3 linked regions of the Tamandua tetradactyla genome follow. The protein of the gene in region 1 binds, or shares a complex with, the protein of each later gene. Links are inferred from orthologs where the notes say so. Each region holds a gene or a part of one and is shown in the gene's direction. Other genes may lie near its edges.

Region 1 (7,201 bases):
GTGCTGGAAAAGAGGAACTGGCTTTTTTTTTTTTTTTTAAGGCTGGTGGTAGAAGACAAATTTAGGTTTTATCCACATTAAGTTTAAGATTCTGGGAGACATTCTAGAGTATGTGCAACAGGCATTCTGATATAGGTTTTATAGCAGTCATTCTCAAGGGGCTTTTGGGGAGAAGTGTAAATTATGTGGCTCTCTAATTACTTCAGAGAATTAGTGTTTAGAAATGAAATTATCTCTTCAAAGAGTAGGAATTATTTGTGGGGTTTTTCCAAATTTCTCCTTCATCTTACCCCCACCCCCCACCACCCATCTCCCACTACCTACTGGCCATTACGTTGTCATAATGAGCAGATATTACTGATGAGCACATATGGACATGCTGATGTGGGAAAACATGGTTTAGAAGGAACAGTTTAGAACCACTGGCCTTGGTGCATGGGTAGGTCAGTGGTAGAATGCTTGCTTGCCACTGGGTTCAATTTCTGGCCATGTACTCTACACACACACCCCAATCGAAAACTAAAAAAACAAACTAGAACCACTGGCCTGGCATTTTAAAATTCAATGATTAGAAAAACAGATTTCATACTTATATCCTCTCCTCTGTGAAAACTTTAATAGCCCCTACCCCAACATTGCTGGATTCTGACAGCTTTGTAAATACCTTATCATAGTACACATTTGCATCTTTGTAAGTCCAGGATCCAGGCAGGAAGATAGAATCATTCGAAGGATTCTAAACAAACAGCATTTAACTATGGAGAACTGGCTTCACAGGTGGTGAAAGCTCTAAGCACAAAAAAGGGAAAGCCAAGATTAAAACAGAAATTTCTACTGCAGGAAGTAACTACCAGTCCTAGAGCTGGTGGAATAGAGGGAGGAAGTGGTATTGTCAGAGTCCAAAAGGACACTCACTGCTGTGGGTCTACCATAAGGGTGGTAAAAGGCAAGGCATGATCACCAAAAAAAGGGGCTGTTTGCAACTGGTCTTGGGACTGTGTAAAGGTCAAAGCCATTCCCAGTGATGCCAGAGGCAAAGAGTTAGAGAAGTCAATAGCTGCTCCCCATCTTCCACCTTCTGGAGGTACTTGTGCTTCCTCTTGGCACAATCTTTTTTTTTTCCCTAATTTATTTTATTTTGTATTATCAAACCAAAACAACATACAAACATGAACAGTCTTAACATACAAACATTCCATGTATGGTGTACAAGCAATGGCTCACAATATCACATAGTAGTATATTCAACACCATGATCATTTTCAGAATGTCTGCATCACTTCAGAAAAAGAAATAAAAACCTCACACATCCCATACTTCCCTCTCATTGACCACTAGTATCCCCACCTATTCAATAGATTTTAAGCTTTGTTCTCCCTATTTTTTTTCTATACACCTTACCACTCCCTTTCATAGTTCACTAGTATTTTAATCTTCTCTATTTATTATGACATTTGTTCCCCCATTCTCTATTTTTAATCCATATTTTTCACTCATCTGTCAATATCGTAGCTAAAAGAAGCATCAGACACAGGTCTTCACAATCACATAGTCACATTGCAAAAGCTGTATCATTATACATCCATCTTCAAGAAACATGGCTACTGGAATATAGCTCTACAATTTCAAGCACTTCCCTCTAGCCTCTCTAATACACCATAAACTAAAAAGGGGTTAACTATAAGATGTGTAAGAATAACCTCCAGGATAACCTCTCAGCCACTGACACTTTATTTTGTCTCATTTCTATCTTCTCCCTTTCAGTCGAGGTTTTCGCAATCCCTTGATGCTGAGTTCCAGCTCATTCTAGGATTTCTGTCCCACGTTGCCAGGAAGGTCCACACCCCTGGGAGTCATGTCCCACATAGAGAGGGAGAGGGTGGTGAGTTTGCTTGCCATGTTGGCTGAGAGCGAGAGAGCCGCATCTGAACAACAAAAGAAGTTCTCTAGGGTGACTCTCAAGCCTTATTTTAAGTAGGCTTAATCTGTCCTTTGTAGGTATAAGTTTCATCTCAACAAACCCCAAGATTGAGGGCTCCGCCTACTGATTTGGTTGTCCCCACTGCTTGTGAGAACATCAGAGATTCTCCAAATGGGGGAAGCTGAATTTTCCCCCTTTCTCACCATTTCCTCCAAGGAGACTTTGAAAATACTTTTTTATTCACTGTTCAAATCACTGTGGGATTTATCAGGGCATCATTCTGAACAAACCTACAAAATCTCATGCCCTATTAGAGGTTCCATGTACTTATGATGTTCAATTAAACTGTCCATATAAGTTATATTAGGAAATCTCTTGGCACAATCTCCATAGGAAGCCATATGATAAGGAAATCTGGGAAACGTAGGCTTCAGTTTCCCAGTCCCACCATCATCCCAGATCAGAATTTAGGTGTGTATGGGGCTCTAAGACCACAGGCAAATAACCTGCACAGTATCTTACCAGGAAAAAAAAAATACACACACAAATACCTACTCACCCTAGACAGAAAATTCCATAAAGAAAATCGGCTTGTTTGATTTTTGGTCTTTGATAATCAGATCTAGGGTCTTATACAATGCTTGCAATATAAAAAGCTCAGTAAGTATCACTAAATATTTTAGTGAACAAATGTCTATTCTCATTAATTGGTAAACAGTTCAAATCAGTGTTCAACTTAAATAACTGGAAGGTAAAGTAGCAACTAATTTGTAAAGCAGCATACTTTAACTTATCCCTGCAAATTAGTACTGACTTTTAAAGGAGAAGCTCCTAGAAAATGTATATACTTTAAGATAGTGTAGCCATTACTAGAGCCATTTTTAGAACTCCTCTTTTGAAGAGGCCTTTGAGTTACTTTTTTTTTTTTAAACATGGGCAGGCATGTGGAATACAACCGGGTCTCCACGACCACAGGTGAGAACTCTGCCTGCTGAGCCAGGGTGGCCCACCCACGAGTTACTTTTTAAAAAAACACATGGCATGCTTCTTGAAGACGATTGTATAAGGGTATAGCATTCACAGTGTGACTGTGTGATTGTGAAAATCTTGTATCTGATGCTTCTTTTATCTACCTCATGGACAGATAAGTAAAACATATGGATTAAAAATAAATAAATATTAGGGAGAACAAATATTAAAATAAATTTAGTAGAGTGAAATGTTACTGATCAATCAAAGAAAGCGTAAGGAGTATGGTATGTATGAATTATTTTCTGTTTTCTTTTTACTTCTTTTTTGGAATTGATGCAAATGTTCTAAGAAATGATCATGATGATGAATATACAACTATGTGATGTTACTGTAAATTACTGATTATATATGTAGAATGGAATGATCATATGGTAAGAATGTTTGTGTTTGTATGTTGGTGCATTTAATAAATAAAAAAAAAAAAAACAAAAAAAAAACAACAAAAGAAAACACATGGCAGACCCGGGTTCTATTCCCGGACCATGCACCTAAAAAAAAATACATGGCAATTAGTAGAATATAATCTTGCTCACTTTAGGCATAGCCTGACTCACCTGGTTGGATCTGCATGATTTATTATTATTTTCAGAAATTAAATTCACTCTCAAAGCATAAGGACCATTACTAATTTTGGCAATTACTTGCCATACGTTTCAATTAACACTGAAGTTACACGACGTCCTGGTCCACCTCCACCACCTTGTGTGGAATAAGATGACAAATGCAGTAAATAACAACGATAATAACTTGAATAAGACTGGTCGTTGCCGCGTGGCAAGGAAGGGAGGAGACTTACCCCACCGCCAACGGGGCAATTTCCGTAGGCTGGTCTTTACTCACTTCCGTATTCCAAGATCAGTTCTAAGACAAAAGTACAACAAAAGGAGGGCTCCCTGTAGCCGCACACCTCTAGACATGAACGAAATCACACAGAGGGGAGATGCGGTCAAACGCGCTCTGGAAGGACCCGCGGGGCCCGGGACCGCCCAGGCAGCGCAGGGCTCACCCCTCCCGCACGCAAACGAGCAGCAGGGGCCGCACTGGCCACGCCCCCACGGCGCCGGGCGTCGCGCCCCGCCCGCCCTGACGACTCGCCGCGGGCTAAGCCCCGGACCTCACTGAGAACCGAGAACCGCGAGGCTCGCGGCGTCGGGAACCAGCCCAGGCCGCCACTCACCTGACAGACCAGCGTTCAAACCTGAGACGCTGCTTCGAGTCTGTGTTCCCAGGAAAAAACCCATACTCGATCATTTAAAAAACGAGGAATGGGAATTTACGGGGAAAAAAGCAATCCAAACAGTCCACAACACTCAGACTCCCACGCCGGCGGGACGAGCGATCGAGTAGCGGCGGAGACCCGCGGCGACCACCTCCGCGCCGGAACAGGCCTCATCTCCTCAGACCTCTTCGGGGGCTTCAAACCGCGGCACCCAAAAGGAGGAGGGACTTCCGGGCTGGCCAACCAATCCGCGCCGAGCCGGAAATACCGACTGTGAAGGGATGCGAAGTGCCGGTTTCCGGGAACCTCCTGGCGAATCCAGTGTTTCACGCTTAGAAGAATTACTGAGCGGGGTTTCATCCACTTAGTGCCACGTTTTCGGGGTAGTGGAAAAACAGGTATTGGGACATGGACAGCCGCTTGCAGGAGATCCGGGAGCGGCAGAAGCTACGGCGACAGCTCCTCGCGCAGCAGGTCCGCGGCCCAGGGTGGCCCGTGCAGGGAGGGATCTCGAATGCGCGTGCGCGTTGCTCTCTGCTTATTCCTTGGCCCTGTCCAGAACTTTTTGGTCCCGCGACTATGATCCCTGATTCTCCCCCTTCTTATCTCTCAACTTCCGCGGCTCCCCGAAAATTTTCTAGACACTCCCGTGGTCGGTGTGGTGGTTAAACCAAATGCCGCGATGAGTCTTCAGCAACATTTATCGAATCCCGCCAAGTGTTTGTCACGGTACTTGATAGTGGGGATGCAAAGCTTTGGGTTTTGTGAGTAAATCACCACGGTAATGGTAATTTATTGTAGCAAGACATGCAGTGAAAAGTGACTTATTATCTCTTAAAATCCCTTAAACTTCTCTTCACTGTTTAAGTTGTTCTCCGTGACTTGCCTTTCCTTGGAGTCAGCACCTGAGATTGTCTTTTCCGTAAACCCACGAAATGGTTTTATTTGATTGGAATTACCACGTCTAAAGTCTGCGTTTGAAGTAGCTTAAGTGTAAACTCTATATTCTGCATTTTGCATATTACAGTCCACTGTGCTATGTACAGTATTGTCATCACCCACAATTAAAACTTGAATTCTTATTCGGTATCAGTCACAGCGCCCCCTGAAATAGATACTATTATCCTCACTTAAGTAGTGAAATGGAGGCTCCAGTGGTTAAGTAATTTTCACTCTGACCTCTTGGCCAGGAAATTAGTCCAGATTTGACCCTCCGTAGCTTGTCTTCTAAACCACTCTGTTTCACTGCTTCTTGTGTATGAGTAAATTAATACTTGCTGATTGCTAGAATACACAGAACCCACGTGGTACACACCTCTGCTTAAACTCAGAGGCAATGTATCCCATTCTGGAATTCAGATAAATAGAAATACTGGAGAAAATGCTCGTAGCGTTTAATGAGGCATCTGCCTTGTATTCTCAGTTATAAATCTTGGTTTTTTAGTTAAGGGAAATCTGAAACGTACCCTTTTTTATAATCTGATGAAATGATTGATGGTGTAGTTTAAACGTGGGAATTTGGAATCAGACCTATTTCTGTCCCTCTGGCAGTATGATCTTAGACAAATCAGGTATCCTTTTTAAGTCTTCTTTTTCCCATCTTTTAAAAAATAATGTTTCTTCAAAAATGCTCAATACCTAGCTCCTTGTTGCCACCAACGAAAGTTACTACTCCTTAGTTTTGAATTCACACTTCTAAAAGATTTAGCTCAAAATACGCTCATAATAATTTTTTGTTGTGAGTGTCTTACTCTATGCCAGGAACTGGAGTAGGCTTTGGCATTTCAGCTATGAATAATCGGTTATCTCTATCCTTAAAAGCTTGCATAGTACAGGAAATTTAATAATGGCTGCTGTTTATTAAGTTCCTTTTAATTATGCACCAGGCTTTGCTAAGATTCTTACATACGTTATCTTATCTCATCAAGTTACATGTAACCTGCATTTTAGAGATGAAGAAAATAAAGCTCAAAGAATTTAAGTAACTTGCCCAAGCCTGCAAAGTCGGTTAAGTATGTGAGCTGGGATTTTAATTTAGGCCTTTCCTTGCTCTTTTCAGTATACCTAGCTGCCTCCCCAAAACCAGACTTCTAGAGGGATACGAACCATTCCATTCACATAAGGATGCCTGATGTCAGCAGACTCCTTCTTTACTAACTTATTTCAGCCTGCCTTTTGTGCGTTTTTCTCCATATGAACAAGACCAGTTTATTATTCTCCATAAATTGATTTGTGTAAATACTTTGTGATTCTGTTTTTTGGTGCATGGGCCGGAAATCAAACCCCGATCTCCTGTCTGGCAGGCGAGCAATGTACCACTGAATCATCCATGCATCCTTTGTACTTTTTAAACAAGGCTTTGTCCTCCTTCCTTTCTGAATTCCATCTCTCCTGCATGGCCCAGCTAAAGTCTGAACTTCATGACAAAACCTTTCCTGACCCCTGGCTTAGACTCTTCATTCTTTGAGCTTTCATTACACTTATTGTCCAGCCCACTATTATATATTGTTTGTTTTAGCTATCATATAGAATATAAACAGTTTGAGTACAAAGTCTTTGCATTTAACTTCCATCAGGTTAAATTTTCCCTACCTCAGCATTGTTTCTGGCACAAAGTAACCTTTTTAAGAAACATAAATGGTTAATGAAATAATCAGAATAGAGCACAACTCATGTACAGTTTCCTTGATTTGCTTTTTTTTAACTTTTTTTATTGTATAGTAAAACATATACAAGGTGAAGAAATAAAAAAAGCAATAGTTTTCAAAGCACTCTTCAAAAAGTGGTTACAGGATAGATCCAAGAGTTTGTCATAGGCTACTATATGATTCTCTCATATTTTTCCTTCTAGCTATTCAAGAATATAGGAGGCTAGCGCGCTTAAATACTTTATCATCACAATCAACTTTTTTTCCTTTTTTTTTTTGATGAACAATAACATATATATATACAAAAAAGCTATACATTTCAAAGCACAGTGCCGCAATTAGTTGTAGAACATGTTTCAGAATTTAACATGGGTTGCAATT
Region 2 (8,155 bases), on another chromosome or scaffold:
AACTTTATGCAATGAGCGAGCTTTATGGAACTTTTAAATAAATCTGTTTTTAAAAATACATACCACAAACAATGAAAACAATCCTAAATGATTGCCTACTATTTTAGGGATTTAATATATGCCTATGTGTAAAAATATATACTTTTCCCTTAGGCCAAACAAAATAAACCTGTCAGGAGAGTACTCACTTTATGAACAGAGATAGATTTTTAAAATTTCATCTATTTTTGTGGGTGGAAAATTTTTTTTTCAGTTCCCAGCATCAACCTATTTTGTATCTACCAAGAAATAAATGGCTTTGAACTTCCAAGACAAAATTTGTGTTGCAATCACAACTGTGTGTGTGTGTGTGTGTGTGTGTGTGTGTGTGTGTGTGTGTGTGTGTGTATTGAGGAGGCGGATACAAAAAGAATAAAATCCAGGAAGAGGGTGAAAGGAGGGGCATTTGTTTGAAAACATACATTTTTAAAAATTGCAGTTTTCTTCCATGTGTATAACTTTTCTTTTGCTTTTTCCTTTTAAAGCTAAAACTGATTTTAAAGGAGACAGAAAAAGGACTCATATAGAAAGCTAGTTGTGTCTGCTCTCTTGCTGGGCTGTGTCTTCTAGGACCTTAGAGTTGCACGGCTCCAAGGGGTCACCCTCATTCCAGAACAGGCTATGAAACTTTTCCTTATTATTTCCTAACTTGGGATAAGGGCACTGAAAAGGAGAGATCAACATGCTGCTATGTTGCTCCGGGAAGTTGTTGGTAATTTAACTGTTTTCTTGACCACTGAGAGATCCTCTTCACCCCAGGTCAGGTAACCTCACAAATCCGGCCATTTGATCACAAGGAGACCAAATGAAAGCTTGGACCGAATCTCAACTTCCTCACCAATACCAGAAAAAGTTTTCAAAGTTCTGGCTCTTAAACGCTGGGTCACTTTAATCCTACCTCAAACCCCTCTAAAAGACATGTGTAAAATCAGCTGATAAAAACTCACTAAACAGCTTCATGCTTTAAGACAAAGGAAAAGAAAATAAAACAAATCACTTCTTTTAACTACATTATGGATCCAACATATTTTGGCATTATTTAGCTCTACTGTGAACACACACACATTACAGGCATTATGTTTTGGCTCTTTCACTGGTAAAGCTCTTTACAGACTAACCATAAAACTTACCAGTCCTCTTGTCTCCAAGAAGGCTACCATCCCACCAGTCCTCTCGTCTCCAAAAAGTCTACCATTCCCTCAGGCAAGCATTACTAGTGCAGCCAACTGTGAGCAGTTGCTTCCATCATGCCCCCTGGTATGTCAAGCAGCAAGTCAAGCCTGGAAGCCTCAGGCACTACCACACATTTGTACTGGTGCTTGTCCAGCAGGCAGTACAAACTGGAATTCTTTCCCTGAATTCTTGTGTTTCCTCAACCCCTATAATTAGTTTTGGGAAACTGTACTGATTTAACTATTATCTTTTTCTTTAATCAGTGAGTCAACTAAGCAAGTCAGTTTAGTTCAAAAGTATTAATTCTGGAGACTGGTTTATCTGGATCAGCTAATGATTTGAGTAATCAGGTAACGGGGTTCCTTCAGTTTCCCTTTGTGTTGTAGGAATATAACCTTAAAATAGATTCAAACTCTCTATTTAAAGCTTTTTCTTTGAGCATTTCGAGTGTTGACAAATACTGCAAGTTTTTTTTAAAAAACCCCCTAGTGTCTAGATTCTTATCTCTAAATACCATCTTCCATTTAAAGGAACCAGAACTCCTTGGAGAACTGGGGTTGTGCGGTGGTACAGATAATGTACTAGATAAGCCTGCAGCAAAATAATGGAGAGAGGGAGAGTGGGAAGAGGTTAGAGAGAAACAAGATTGAAATGATTTGTTAATTGTTCAAATTAGGTGCTGGAAAAAATGTTTATTTGATACAAAATTTATATTTTGGTTAGTGCATTTCCTAATATAGCTTATGTGAACAGTTTAATTGAACACCATAAATACACAGAATCTTGAGTAGGGCATGAGATTGTGTAGGTTTTTCCAGAGTGATGTCCTGATAAATCCCAGAATGATTTGAACAGTAAATAAAAAAAGTATTTACAAAGTCCCCTCAGAGGAATGGCGAGAAAGGGGGAAAATTCAACTTTCCCATGTGGAGAATTTCTGATATTCTCACAAGCAGTGGGGACAACCAAAACAATCGATCGAGCTCTCAATCTTGGGGTTTGTTTGCATGAAACTTATCTCCGCAAGGACCAGGCTAAGCCTACTTAAAATTAGGCCTAAGAGTCACCCCCAGAGAGTATCTTTTGTTGCTCAGATGTGGCCTCTTTCTGAGCCAACACAACAAGCAAACTCACTGCCCTCCCCCTGTCTATGTGGGACATGACTCCCAGGGGTGTGGACCTTCCTGGCAACATGGGACAGAAATTCTAGAATGAGCTGGGACTCAGCATCAAGGGACTGAGAAAACCTTCTTGACCAAAAGGAGGAACAGAGAAATGAGACAAAATAAAGTGTCAATGGCTGAAAGATTTCAAAGTCAAGAGATTATGCTGGAGGTTATTCTTACACATTATATAGATATCACCTTTTTATTTAAGGTATAATGGAGAGAGAGGCTGAAGGGAAGTGCCTGAAAATGTAGCACTGTGTTCCAGTAGCCATGCTTCTTGAAGATGATTGTATAATCATATAGCTTTAACAGTGTGACTGTGTGATTGTGAAAACCTTGTGTCTGATGCTCCTTTTATCTACAATTTGGACAGATGAGTAAAACATATGGATTAAAAATAAATAAATAATAGAGGAACAAACGTTAAATTTAGTAGACTGAAATGCTAGTGATCAATGAAAGGGAGGGGTAAGGGGCATGGTATGCATGAATTTTTTTCTTTTTATTTCTTTTTCTGAATTGATGCAAATGTTCTAAGAAATGATCATGATGATGAATATACAACTATGTGATGATATTGTGTTATTGATTATATATCAAGAATAGAATGATCATATAGTAAGAATATTCTTGTATGTTATGTTTAATAAATAAATAAATAAAAGAAGGCAAAAAAAAACCCCCAAAAAACCCCAGAAATTAGGTGCCGGGTTCTTCAGAGTATTCTTTGTAAGTGAAAAAGAATTGTTATTTTTCAAACTGAAAGAGTGGCACATGGTAAAACAAAGGTTTAAAAAGCAAAACAATGATACACAATGAAAAGTTAAGTCTCCCTCTCTTACTCCAGACTCTCAGTTCCCATCCTCAGGGTAACCTGGTAACTATTTTCTTCAGTATTTTTCAAGTAGGTTTCTACGAATATACAAAGATACATATATATGTGTGGGTATGAATATTTATATACATTTTTTTAAAACCACAAATGGTAGCATACTAGACACCTTATGAAACTTTTGGTAGCCAGTTTATTTTTTTAAATAATGATTTACTATCTATCTATCAGCTGCTGTAGGCTTAATGTCTCAAGCTGCTTGGCTCTTATGTGGCATCTGGTGTCTGACAGGACTTCGGTCACCTAGAGGCTTGAATGGTCTGGAACATGGAAAATGCTTCACGCCCACGGGCATTTATTTGGTGCTGGCTGTCACCCGGGTGCTCAGTTGGGACTGTCAACTAGACTGCCTCAGTTGGGGAATCTCACGGCATGGTAGCTGGCGCCCATAGTAGTTACTTTTAATCCAGTGGGTATATCTACACACTATTTCACTGTGGATTTTTATGTTTTACATATCCACTTAATTGTGGGCCTCTTTCAGGTTTCTTTGATCTTATCAAAAGATGAAAGGCCCCTTCATCACTTCCCCTAAAATTATTAAAAAAGGGAAGCAGATCTAATGCAGAGCTGCGAACCCGTCTTAGGCAGTTTTCAAGTTTTCGGGATCTTATTCTTACTCGGCACTACTTCCTTCCAGCAGACGGTGAAATTCTCGGTGTCAGCCAATTCCCGGCCTCACCCAGCATCTCGCACAGCGTCTGACACAATAAAGGTCTGTGCAAAGAATGAGAGTTGGATAATCATTGACGGAGGTAAAAGAGGTGGATTTGGAGACAGCCAGGTGGCTGCGCTACTGGGTTCTAATGCAGAATAGCCGGGGATGCGGGCAGGTGCGGGCAGGAAAGCGCGGCGCATCTGCAGCGGGTGTAAATCTCACCCGGTTATCTCAAGGGGAGAGGTAACGCGTATGAAAACAAATACAGCTAGACTACAGCGCCAAGAACAGACAAACCACGTGCATTCGCAACATAAAACAGGAAGCCCAGACATACGTCCGCTATAGCCCTACAGTTCCCGCCACGCCCGCGAACAGAGACGCTGGGATCGCGGTCACTCCCCTGGGTTACCGCCGCTCCGTGGGTGGGAACCGGGAGCGTCAGGGAAAGCCCGGCTCCCGGGCGAGGCACGCTAGGGCTGCGTCCCCGCTGCGCTACCACCTCGCTGCCCGACCCTGAGAGAACGCGCCAGATCGCAGCGTCACCCCGAGGCTTTAGTCTGACCCCGCGCGTGTCAAAAGAGAACTCCTGGCCCCTGCCGGCCGCGCGGGTCCCAGTGACCTCGGGGGACGCTCTCTCGCGCCCTGGGGAAACGGCCGGAGGGGGTGGTGCCTCGCACACACCCCGGGACAGCTTCTAACAGCCGGACGGCCTACCCAGTGCCTCGCCTGCCACAGGCAGAACGGTGGGGAGCCCAGAAGTTTCTAGCTCCACGGGCTGCAGCATCGCTAAGTACGCCGCGGGACCGAACAAATGTTTGAAGGGTGAACTGCGAAAGCGCGGGGAGGCGGAGTTGGCTCATGATCACCATCTCGCGACATCTAAGTGACGTCGCACAGCAAGCGCGTGTTCTAGTTTTCACCTTCAGTCAGCCTCCTCAGTATATGGGTCTCTCCCCTTAAGCGAGTGATGGACAGTTATTCCAGCCTATCAATTTCCTCATCAACATCCAATCAAATTTAAATTTCTTTTGGCCGCTGGAGGAGTTGGAAGAAGGGGATCGAAAGAGAGCGCTCGCGCCTGCGAGATTCGTGTGAGACTGCCTCTCAGAGAAAAAAAATGTCAAAACGGATGGCCCAACTTTCCAAATAGTGTGTTAAAGGACGGGGTCCCAAACCAATGAAAAGGATGAAGAGGTGGGAACGCTGCTTTCGCCGCGCAAGAAGTACCGTTACAAGGCAGACTTTTTGTCCAATCAGCGCCTCCGGGCTTTGGGTCAGGTGACTATAGAGTGCAGGGGCGGGGCTATAGCCTGGCGCGAGGAACCGTTAAGATAGACAATGAATACCACCAATGAGATACTCTGACTAGGGCGTTGGGAGACCAATAACAGTTGTTGGGCGGGCACCTTCCCGGAGAGCGGGGAGATGTAAAGACAGACAAACAGTTTTTCCAATGAGACTGTAGAACAGAGATGCTAATTGACCAATGAGGACTACGGGGCGGGATCCTTTTCCGCGGCGGAGTCCAAGATGGCGGCGTGCGGTTCCGCTGTGTGAAACGAGCGCGCGGCGGCGGGTTAATCAGTTCCGCGGAGACGACCTGCGACGACCTGCAACGATGAAGGGAAAAGAGCGCTCACCAGTCAAGGCTAAACGTTCTCGTGGTGGTGAGGACTCGACTTCCCGCGCGGAGCGGAGCAAGAAGTTAGGAGGCTCTGGAGGCAGCAATGGGAGCAGCAGCGGAAAGACCGACGGCGGCGGCGGGTCGCGGCGGAGCCTTCATTTGGACAAGTCCAGCAGCCGAGGTGGCAGCCGCGAGTATGACACTGGTGGGGGCAGCGCCAGTAGCCGCTTACATAGTTACAGCTCCCCAAGCACCAAAAATTCCTCGGGCGGGGGCGAGTCGCGCAGCAGCTCCCGGGGTGGAGGCGGGGAGTCACGTTCCTCTGGGGCCGCCTCCTCAACTCCTGGTGGTGGGGACAGCGGGGAATACAAGACGCTGAAGATAAGCGAGTTGGGGTCCCAGTTGAGCGACGAAGCAGTGGAGGACGGTCTATTTCACGAGTTCAAACGCTTCGGTGATGTAAGTGTCAAAATCAGTCATCTTTCGGGTTCTGGCAGCGGGGATGAACGGGTAGCCTTTGTGAACTTCCGGCGGCCAGAGGACGCGCGGGCGGCCAAGCATGCCAGAGGCCGCCTAGTGCTCTATGACCGGCCCCTGAAGATAGAGGCTGTGTATGTGAGCAGACGCCGCAGCCGCTCTCCTTTAGACAAAGATACTTATCCTGCGTCAGGCGGTGTGGTTGGGGCTTCTGTAGGTGGACACCGGCACCCTCCTGGGGGAGGTGGTGGAGGCCAGAGATCACTTTCCCCTGGTGGTGCTGCCTTGGGGTACAGAGACTACCGGTTGCAGCAGTTGGCTCTTGGCCGCCTGCCTCCACCACCACCGCCACCGTTGCCCCGAGAGCTGGAGAGAGAGCGAGACTATCCGTTTTATGAGAGAGTGCGTCCAGCCTACAGTCTTGAGCCAAGAGTGGGAGGTGGAGCCGGTGCGGCTCCTTTCAGAGAAGTGGATGAGATTTCACCTGAGGATGATCAGCGAGCAAACCGGACGCTTTTCTTGGGTAACTTAGACATCACTGTGACAGAGAGTGATCTAAGAAGGGCTTTTGATCGCTTTGGAGTCATCACAGAAGTAGACATCAAGCGGCCTTCTCGAGGCCAGACCAGTACCTACGGCTTTCTCAAATTCGAGAACCTGGACATGTCTCACCGAGCCAAACTAGCAATGTCTGGCAAAATTATAATTCGGAATCCTATAAAAATTGGTTATGGTAAAGCCACACCCACCACCCGCCTCTGGGTAGGCGGTTTGGGACCTTGGGTGCCTCTTGCTGCCCTGGCACGGGAGTTTGACAGATTTGGCACTATACGCACCATAGACTACCGCAAAGGTGATAGCTGGGCATATATCCAGTATGAAAGCCTGGATGCAGCTCATGCTGCCTGGACCCATATGCGGGGCTTCCCACTTGGTGGCCCAGACCGTCGCCTTAGAGTAGACTTTGCAGACACGGAACATCGTTACCAACAACAATATCTGCAGCCTCTTCCCCTGACTCATTACGAATTGGTGACAGATGCTTTTGGACATCGAGCACCTGACCCTTTGAGAGGTGCTCGGGACAGGACACCACCCTTACTGTACAGAGATCGTGACAGGGACCTTTATCCTGATTCTGATTGGGTGCCACCACCGCCCCCAGTCCGTGAACGCAGCACTCGGACTGCAGCAACTGCTGTGCCTGCTTATGAGCCATTGGATAACCTTGATCGCAGGCGTGATGGCTGGTCCTTGGACCGGGACAGAGGTGAGAGAGATCTGCCCAGCAGCAGAGACCAGCCTAGGAAGCGAAGACTGCCTGAGGAGAGTGGGGGACGGCATCTGGATAGGTCCCCTGATAGTGACCGTCCACGAAAACGTCACTGTGCCCCTTCTCCTGACCGCAGTCCAGAATTGAGCAGTAGCCGGGATCGCTATAACAGTGACAATGATCGATCTTCCCGTCTTCTCCTCTTGGAAAGGCCCTCTCCAATCAGAGACAGACGAGGTAGTTTGGAGAAGAGCCAAGGTGACAAGCGAGACCGTAAAAATTCTGCATCAGCAGAACGGGATAGGAAGCACCGGACAGCTGCTCCCACCGAGGGTAAAAGCCCTCTGAAAAAAGAAGACCGGTCAGATGGGAGTGCACCTAGCACCAGCACTGCTTCATCGAAGCTGAAATCCCCTTCCCAGAAACAGGATGGTGGGGCAGCACCTGCAGCAGCATCCTCTCCCAAACTCTGTTTGGCCTGGCAGGGCATGCTTCTACTGAAGAACAGCAATTTCCCATCCAACATGCATCTGTTGCAGGGTGACCTTCAAGTGGCTAGTAGTCTTCTTGTGGAGGGTTCAACTGGAGGCAAGGTAGCCCAGCTCAAGATCACTCAGCGTCTCCGTTTGGACCAGCCCAAGTTGGATGAAGTAACTCGACGCATCAAAGTGGCAGGGCCCAATGGTTATGCCATTCTTCTGGCTGTGCCTGGAAGTTCTGACAGCCGGTCCTCCTCCTCTTTGGCCACATCAGATACTGCCACCTCTACCCAGAGGCCTCTTAGGAACCTCGTGTCCTATTTAAAGCAAAAGCAGGCCGCTGGGGTGATCAGTCTCCCTGTAGGGGG
Region 3 (7,442 bases), on another chromosome or scaffold:
GAATGGATTGCTGGGGTGGGGGGGGGGAATTACAGGGATCAGGATTGGGAAATTTTCTTCAAAGGCGTCCTTTATTTTTCCTAAGGAAGGGATTTCCAAGGAACCGGACAAGCCTGTTTCCAAGAACAAATGACCCTGAGATAGCTGTACCTCTGGTATCTCTGCTGACTAATGGATGCTCTCTGCCTCCACCAAGGAATGGGGGATGTTTAAAGCCCCAGCTATACAGCCACAATTTGGGGCATTAAAATCTCCTTTGTTGACCCTATTCTTGATACAATGTGGCTGGTATTTAGTAAATGTTTCTTGGGTATATAATGGATATATTGATTTAAAACAAAATGTCTAGAAATGTGTTCATCATTATGGTTCAAGGAGATGAACTATATTTAATGAAGTAACATATTTAAAATTATAACTACTAGTTAAAATTACGATAGTAATCTAAATTTAAAAAGAAATTGTAGCATGCCAGTGCTAGTGGAGTTCCTTGTGATCCACAAAGAAAATGGAGACTAAATATTGCTAGCTTTTATTATGGTTAAAATATCTAGATGTTAGTTAAATCTGAAAGTTTTGTGCACATTGGGTTGGCATGTGAGTAGGGAACAGTCTGAAAGTAAAAAGGAAATGAGACTGAGCTAAATAATAATGGTGTCTCTAGGCTAATTGCTAAAGATGACCTTTGTTAACATGGTAAGGACGAGTGGGAAGAAGATTCCAGACAAAAAGGATGGAATGAGCGGAGGTACTGTCTTGTGAAACAATGATGTATGCAGAGTCATAATCGCACATAATTAACCCACTGAATACAGCTGAGGATTCTTTTCCAGCTCTTTTTCATCCTTACGATAAATCCAACCCAAGAAATCTCACAGCTCTGAGCTCTGGGAAGTCACCACAAACTTCTTCAGCCACCAATTCTGGACATCTCCAGGATCCCCAAACTTCTTGGGTGCCACGTGATGAAGACCAGCCTCACTGCAAATGTCTTTTCTTTTTATTTCTGGCCTCCCTCTTCTCAGTATTTTAGTAGGTGATTCCTAAATCAAAGTAGTAGGAATATAGGTTACAGGCTAAGTAGAAGGTTTATTGGGAAAGAAGTGGCCAATTTATTTAATATCAGTCTAAGTCAACCGTATGTACTATTTAAAACAGTAAATATTGCTATTATTGAGGATTGTACCAACTCGGGTGATCAGTAAAAACTTTTTGCTCATAGTTTCATAACATTTTTTTCTGAATAATGACTTTTCCTACTATTTTGATAGACTTGCACTAGTACTGTTTCTCTTTTTCCTATATTTTCTGTAAACTGGAGGTATATTACCAGGTTGTCCCACAAAACTGATACCAAATTTGACCACTTAGTTCAGCTGGGGACCACCAGATGGCTCCACCGTACAGGTGTTTTTCTTCTTTATCATTAGATAAGTAAGATATGGGGGTGATACATGGGCGCCATGTGAATTTTCCACTTACCAGTAACCTTTTACCTAAAAGCTTTAAAGTTCATTGAAAATCCTTGTTTGAATCAATTATTTCACTGGAGTGTGCATGATGGCTATTTTCAAATTCTACCATTTATTCTAAATGTATTAGCTGGCATCCTATAAAGAAGAATTTTTCCACATCGACTGGGGATGAACCAGTTATCCTTTTTAAAAGGCAGGGTAAATCCTATTCTTTTATCAACCCATTTTCAGAGTATGAAGTTAGCGTAATAGGCACCTCCAATGATGGAAGAGTTTTTCTTCCCTCTCTCTGAGTATAACATATGAAGTCACATATTTTTCATTCAGTGTTTGTAATTTATTATAGCCATTTTCTTTTTGAGGCTCAAATTGCCCTAACTTTGGCCTGTGAGAGACCTTTCAAGTAGGCTCCTAAGTATTTTAAAAATTTACTAAACTGAGGTATAATTTGCACATACACTAAAATGCAACCATTTTAATGGGACACTTTGATGGAAATTTGAAAAATGTACATATTTGGGTATCTAGCACCCTAAGTATGACTCAGAACATTTTCATCACATCTGAAAGTGCCTTTATACCCATTTCAGGTCTATTCTTTTCCCTTCCCATCCGAGACAACCACTGATCTGATTTCTATCACTGTACATAGGTTTTGCCTGTTCTCCTATGTCCTATTTACATACCCCCCAATAGCCTAAGGGATTCCTTAGCAATCCAGAATAAATATCTCAGACTCATCTTGAACTTTCCGTGCCCCCAAACTAGAATCAGCCCATTCTCTAGAGAGCTCTGGATCTTTTTTAGAGGGAAATGGAAACTAGAAACCAAGATCTGGGTGCTAGGTGTGCTCTTGTTACTGTAGGGTGACCAACTACCCTGGTTTGCCCGGCACAGCTGGTGGCCTTACTGCTTCCAGGCCCTGAAGTGCACTGAGCTAGGAAATCTATTTTAATTATACGTTCAAGTTTATATTTCCAATTTAAATTTAATATACACACGGATCTTCTGATCTTTGATTTTGTACTTGGATATCATTTTAACTCGGAAATTCTTTACACACAATAACATCAATATATTTGTGTTATTCTACCATGGAGTTTCAAAATATTTAGTTATAAACCACTGAATACAGTTCAGGATTCTTTTCCAGTTCTTCTTCATCCTTAGGATAAACCCCACCCAAGAAATACTGTGAGAGTGAGTATGGTTGAAAGGGGAAGTCTAGGGTCGTGTATGCCACTAGAAGAAAAGCTAGAGGATCAGACATGGAATTTATAACATAACATTGTGGATGATGATTGTGCTTAACTTTACAGTTTTACATGAAAAAAAAAAAAAAGATAGCACTGCCCTGGGCATGCTTGCTGGTGGCAGTGCTTCTCTGGGGTGGGGGGTGGGGGGGGTGGGGAGAGATAAACTGCAACAGTATTGTGGCCAAAAGATGTAGGGAATAATTCTTATTTCCCTGTGACATAATGTTACCAATTTGATTCAGAGTTAGGTTCCTTTGCTTCAATTTGCTTTGTACTTTGAGGTTTACTTTGTTTCCTTTTTTATTTACTTATTGGCTATGTAAAACTTTAAGTATTCACAGAGAAGTCTTCCTACTAATTCTGTCCCCTCCACTCTCTATTGGAAATTACTTAGTTTCTAACATACCCTTCCAGTGTTATTCCCCCACCCCCACCCCTACCCCAAGTAAGTATGCCCCGAAGATCACTTTAAATCACTTACTATACCCTGGGACTCACTTCAAAGCAAGACATAAATACCATCCTCATTCTTTTATATGGCTGCATCGAATTCCACAATACGGATCTATCATATCCAATCAGTTCCTACTAATGGGTATTTGTGTTATTTCCAAACATTTACTATGGAAAACAGCTCTACAATGAATAGGCTTGCGTATACTTTGTTTGTATTTGTGGAAGTGCATGTTCTGAATAAGGTTAGGGTTAGAAATGGAATTGCAAGGTATAAGGATAAATGCATATGTAATTTTGGTACTCCGTAGAGCTTGAATCGCTTTCCATTCCCACCAGAAAATTTACGAGCACGTTTCCCCACAACCTTGCCAACTATGTGATTTCAACGTGTGGTTTTTGCCAATCTGATCATTGTAACTTCACTGTGTCCTATTCTGTGAGGTTGAGCAACTTTTTATGTTTAAGGACCACTGATATATTTTTTTTTCCTTCTGAACTGTCTGTTCATGTCCTTGCCCATTTTGCTTTTAGGATTTTGGTCTCTTCCGTTTTTTAAGAGTTTCTGTAATACAAGTTGCAATATTTTCTCCAGATTGATCTGATTTACTGGGACTGGACCTTTGAAGATCTCTAGTATACTTAAACCTTATCTTTACAGATCACCTCATCTCAGGACACCTTCCTTGGGGATAAAGTTTTGGTAAGGCTGACCGAGCCAAAAAATTACCTGCCCTCTCCTACAAGGGGAAGATGCTGTTTTCATGCAGACCAGGTAAAAAACCATCTTTCTTATTGAAACCGGTCCAGACGACATCATGTCTTAAGGGAATATATTCAAGTTACAAAGTTTATTTTATTGGATTCATGAAAACTTCACCGGGTTCGCCTTCGCTTCCTTTCTGAACTAACAAGGTGCACTGAGAGCCGCTGGCGAGGCACAACCTTCCATCTGCCGCACAACAATGGCTGATTTCGCCTTCGGAGATGCCAGGGCAGGGACGAACCAAGAGGTCGTGCGCCTGCATCGCACGACGGCCGCGGTGTACCACTTTCTCAGCTCTCACTAACAAAGTGAAGTTCAGCGAAGCGAACAAACCTGCCCGGCCTGACATCACACCTGGCCCGCCCGCTCGCGGAAGCATCGTCAAAACGGGCACACCAGTCACCACGTGGCCACGCCACGCACCGCCCTCGTCGGGATCCCTCCGCCAGGGCACGCGCCCCAGCCGCAGCTGGCAACGGGGAGAGCTCCCACCCTCCCCGGCGAAGACCGCGACCCGCCACTCTTCCCGTGATGCCCCGCGGCTGAACCCCGACCTCCTCCGCGCCCGATCTCCTCACCCACCCCCCGCCACTACTTCGCGTCCGTGCCCCTCCCCCCCGCTCCTGTCAGATCCCGAGGCCGAGGGCGCGCGCCCAGACCCGGGGAAGGGGCCCGGCCGTGGTACGGAGAGAAATCGCCTCCACTGGTGCCTCGGGGCTCTGCGTTGGGGCACCGCCACTCCCGTCTCTTTTCGTCCCCGGGCAGGGCCCGGCGGCGGGCGGACGACCGCGGCGGCATCCGGTAGACGACCTCTCGGTGAGTGGCCGAGGCGCAAACATGGCGGAGCGGCGGTAGCGCCCCAGCTCCCGGCTGAGGGGCCGCGGGGCGGGGCAGGCGGCGGGGCGGGGCGCGAGCGCAGGAGGGTGGGGATGGGGGACGGAACCTCATTTCCTCCCTCGGCGCCATTTTGTGGCAGCGAGACCCGCAAATAAAGGGGAGAGCCGGGGCTGCGGCGTGAGGAGCAGCGCGGTCGGGGACGGCGAGTTGGGCCCAACGGGCCGCGGGCGGGGAGCGCGGCCTCGGCCTATATGACCTGAAGGCGCCAGCGCGGCCTCGGCCCGAAGAGGTAGGTGTGGGCCCGGCCGGCGGCAGCGCCGCGGAAAGGCATCGCGTTCACCCCTAAGGCCGGCCGACTGAGGCACGCCCGGCCTGTCGGTCCCGGGAGGGGCGGCAGAACCCACGGGCCAATCGGGCTGCCGACCTCCGGGTCGCGCCAGCCTCCCGTTAGTCGCCCCGCTACCCGGCTGCGGAGACGCTTCCGCCGCCCCGAGGCCATTTTCCCTCCGTGCCGCGTCCCCGGGGCCCGGGAGCGAGGCGGGTCCCTCGGGTGGGCCGGAAGGCCAGCCCCTCGCGGAGGCCGGGCCGGCTCGCCCTGCTCGCCTTCTCTCCGCCTCTGTTTCGCCCCCTCTCCCTCCTCTGTCTGGATCTGGAGGACCCAGCGGCACGAATGAGTTCAGTAAGGGGAAGAAATGAGCCTCCTTTTCCTAAATTTCTCGTCACGCAGTAAGCTATCGCTGCAGGTAGTCTCCTGTAGACTTCCATTTTTAAACGCTTGTCATGCTTTCTGAGTCAGAAAATAGTTCATTGAATTTTTTCGAGATTTTCATGAGATTTAAAAGTCTGACCTGGATGCTTGTAAGAATAAGTCAGTAGGGAAAACAAAGTGGGAAAGTCAAAGTTCTTGTTTTGATTATGAAGAAAGTCAATTGGCTGTATGAGCCTAAAGAGCTATGTTAAAATTCGAATTAACGTTGTCATTAAAGTAAATAACTGTTCTTTTTCATGTTAAAGTCTTGAGTTGTGTTTATTCCCATTTTATCTAGTTTTCTCTCACTTTGAATTTAATTTCGTTGGGGTGAAGGTAAGTGGAAGTCGTGAGTCTATTACCTCGAAGTTCTATCCGTTTCTTTTTTTAATTTTGGCCATCAAATGTTCTACATTGTAGGCACACTTTTACTTTTTGTAGCTCAGTCCCATTTTTTTTTTTAATCTGAGAATCTTTTCAAAGTGGCAAATTGTTATTTATTTACACATGTCATTGTCTAGCATTTTTTATCAGGCCATTTGGGTAAAAAAAAAAAAAATTGCAGTCCACGAGGTGGCGTGCTGATACGGTTAGATTAAAATTTAAGGGTTTGAGTAGGCGTTGTTTCTGGAGTCTTTTTAGATCTTTTCTGAGGAGATAGCGAAGTGATCGGTGTTTTTTACACACATGATAGTGTGGAGACTTGGGCAAAATAGCTATAATTTGCAGAGTCTAAAGGAAGAAAGGAGTAATAATGGTGGGTCCTAGGCACTGCTGATTATTACCTACCTCATCTAGTTTAAAGAAATCCATAGTATCTAGCTTTTCCAATTTCAAGTCGTTTGCGCAAAATGTTTTTGTGCCTTGTTTGTCAAAAATGAGTTTGTTTATATGATACAGAAAATCTGTGGTAGTCTTAAGATACAGAGGTGAGAGTTGTAATAATTTTGTTTTTGTAGTGCATTACAGCATTCATAGCTCCTTAGGTCTTCTATGTATGTATTATAGAATTTTCTTCAGCGTATTGTTTACCTAGCAGTGTTGTTTACCTAGTGATCTTGATCATTTTTCTTTGGTGTATTTGTTATTTTGGTATTCAGCATTTTGTGTTGGCGAGTTCTTTAACAAAACAAGACTTAAGAGAGTTTCTTAATTTTATTCTTCTTTTTAAAAATTATCCCCCCTTTTTCTGCCTCTAAATTTTTTTATATATATTTTTTGTATTTTTTATTTGTATTTTTTCTCTATATTATCATTTTGTTTCTTTTTCTGTTGTCTTGCTATTTCTTTTTCTAAATCGATGCAAATGTACTAAGAAATGATGCCTCTAAATATTTTGTTTCATTCGGTTACTAAGCTTATCAGAGAAAAGCTCTGTAATATTCCCCAAATAGTACAGTGCATTGTATATAATAAGGTGCTCCATAAGGCTAGAACTCTGTGCTGTACATTAAGTGTCCTCTACCCTTGAAAATATAGTTGGTGGAATTTAATCTTTATTAAATACACGATGAAGTCCTCTTTTATGTTCATGTTAGTATTTTGTTTCAAAAATTCTTTGTTTTGTAGCACTTTATGTCATTGAAAGCCTTGAAATTTGCAGCAACTTGTGAGGTAGGCAAAATTGGTAGCCTCTCTTTGCTGATTTAGAAACTGAAGCCTAGAGAATTAGATGACTTGCTCAAAATCACATGGCTGGTAGCTAGAAGAGTCAGGGAAAGATGGTCTTCCAGTTTGTGATTTTTCTACTACAGTGCTTAGGCTAGTCTGATGTCAGATTATTGATTTCTTATATTCAGTTGTGATTACTTTCATCAGCCTTGGCTGGGACCTGCGTCTTTGTTCAGAGGAAGCTAAATTGCATAACTTAGGATCATAATGCAAAAAGCCAAGGAAAATGGAACTGG

Evidence for each region.
Region 2: METTL14 (region 1) and RBM15 share a complex: the UniProt entries of both Homo sapiens proteins name them as parts of the WMM complex. The link is inferred for Tamandua tetradactyla from reciprocal best matches to the Homo sapiens genes METTL14 and RBM15.
Region 3: METTL14 (region 1) and WTAP share a complex: the UniProt entries of both Homo sapiens proteins name them as parts of the WMM complex. The link is inferred for Tamandua tetradactyla from reciprocal best matches to the Homo sapiens genes METTL14 and WTAP.

Annotation. Positions count from the first base shown.
Region 1 is NC_135350.1:2,275,134-2,282,334, reverse strand, and holds the start of METTL14 (N(6)-adenosine-methyltransferase non-catalytic subunit METTL14), read left to right. Parts: upstream 1-4,039; 5' UTR 4,040-4,580; coding exon 4,581-4,646; intron 4,647-7,201. UniProt on the Homo sapiens protein: The METTL3-METTL14 heterodimer forms a N6-methyltransferase complex that methylates adenosine residues at the N(6) position of some mRNAs and regulates the circadian clock, differentiation of embryonic stem cells and cortical neurogenesis.
Region 2 is NC_135337.1:12,585,763-12,593,917, reverse strand, and holds the start of RBM15 (RNA-binding protein 15), read left to right. Parts: upstream 1-5,134; 5' UTR 5,135-5,420; coding exon 5,421-8,155. UniProt on the Homo sapiens protein: RNA-binding protein that acts as a key regulator of N6-methyladenosine (m6A) methylation of RNAs, thereby regulating different processes, such as hematopoietic cell homeostasis, alternative splicing of mRNAs and X chromosome inactivation mediated by Xist RNA.
Region 3 is NC_135337.1:63,501,360-63,508,801, forward strand, and holds the start of WTAP (pre-mRNA-splicing regulator WTAP), read left to right. Parts: upstream 1-4,421; 5' UTR 4,422-4,766; intron 4,767-4,899; exon of another isoform or gene 4,900-5,076; intron 5,077-5,426; exon of another isoform or gene 5,427-5,530; intron 5,531-7,442. UniProt on the Homo sapiens protein: Associated component of the WMM complex, a complex that mediates N6-methyladenosine (m6A) methylation of RNAs, a modification that plays a role in the efficiency of mRNA splicing and RNA processing.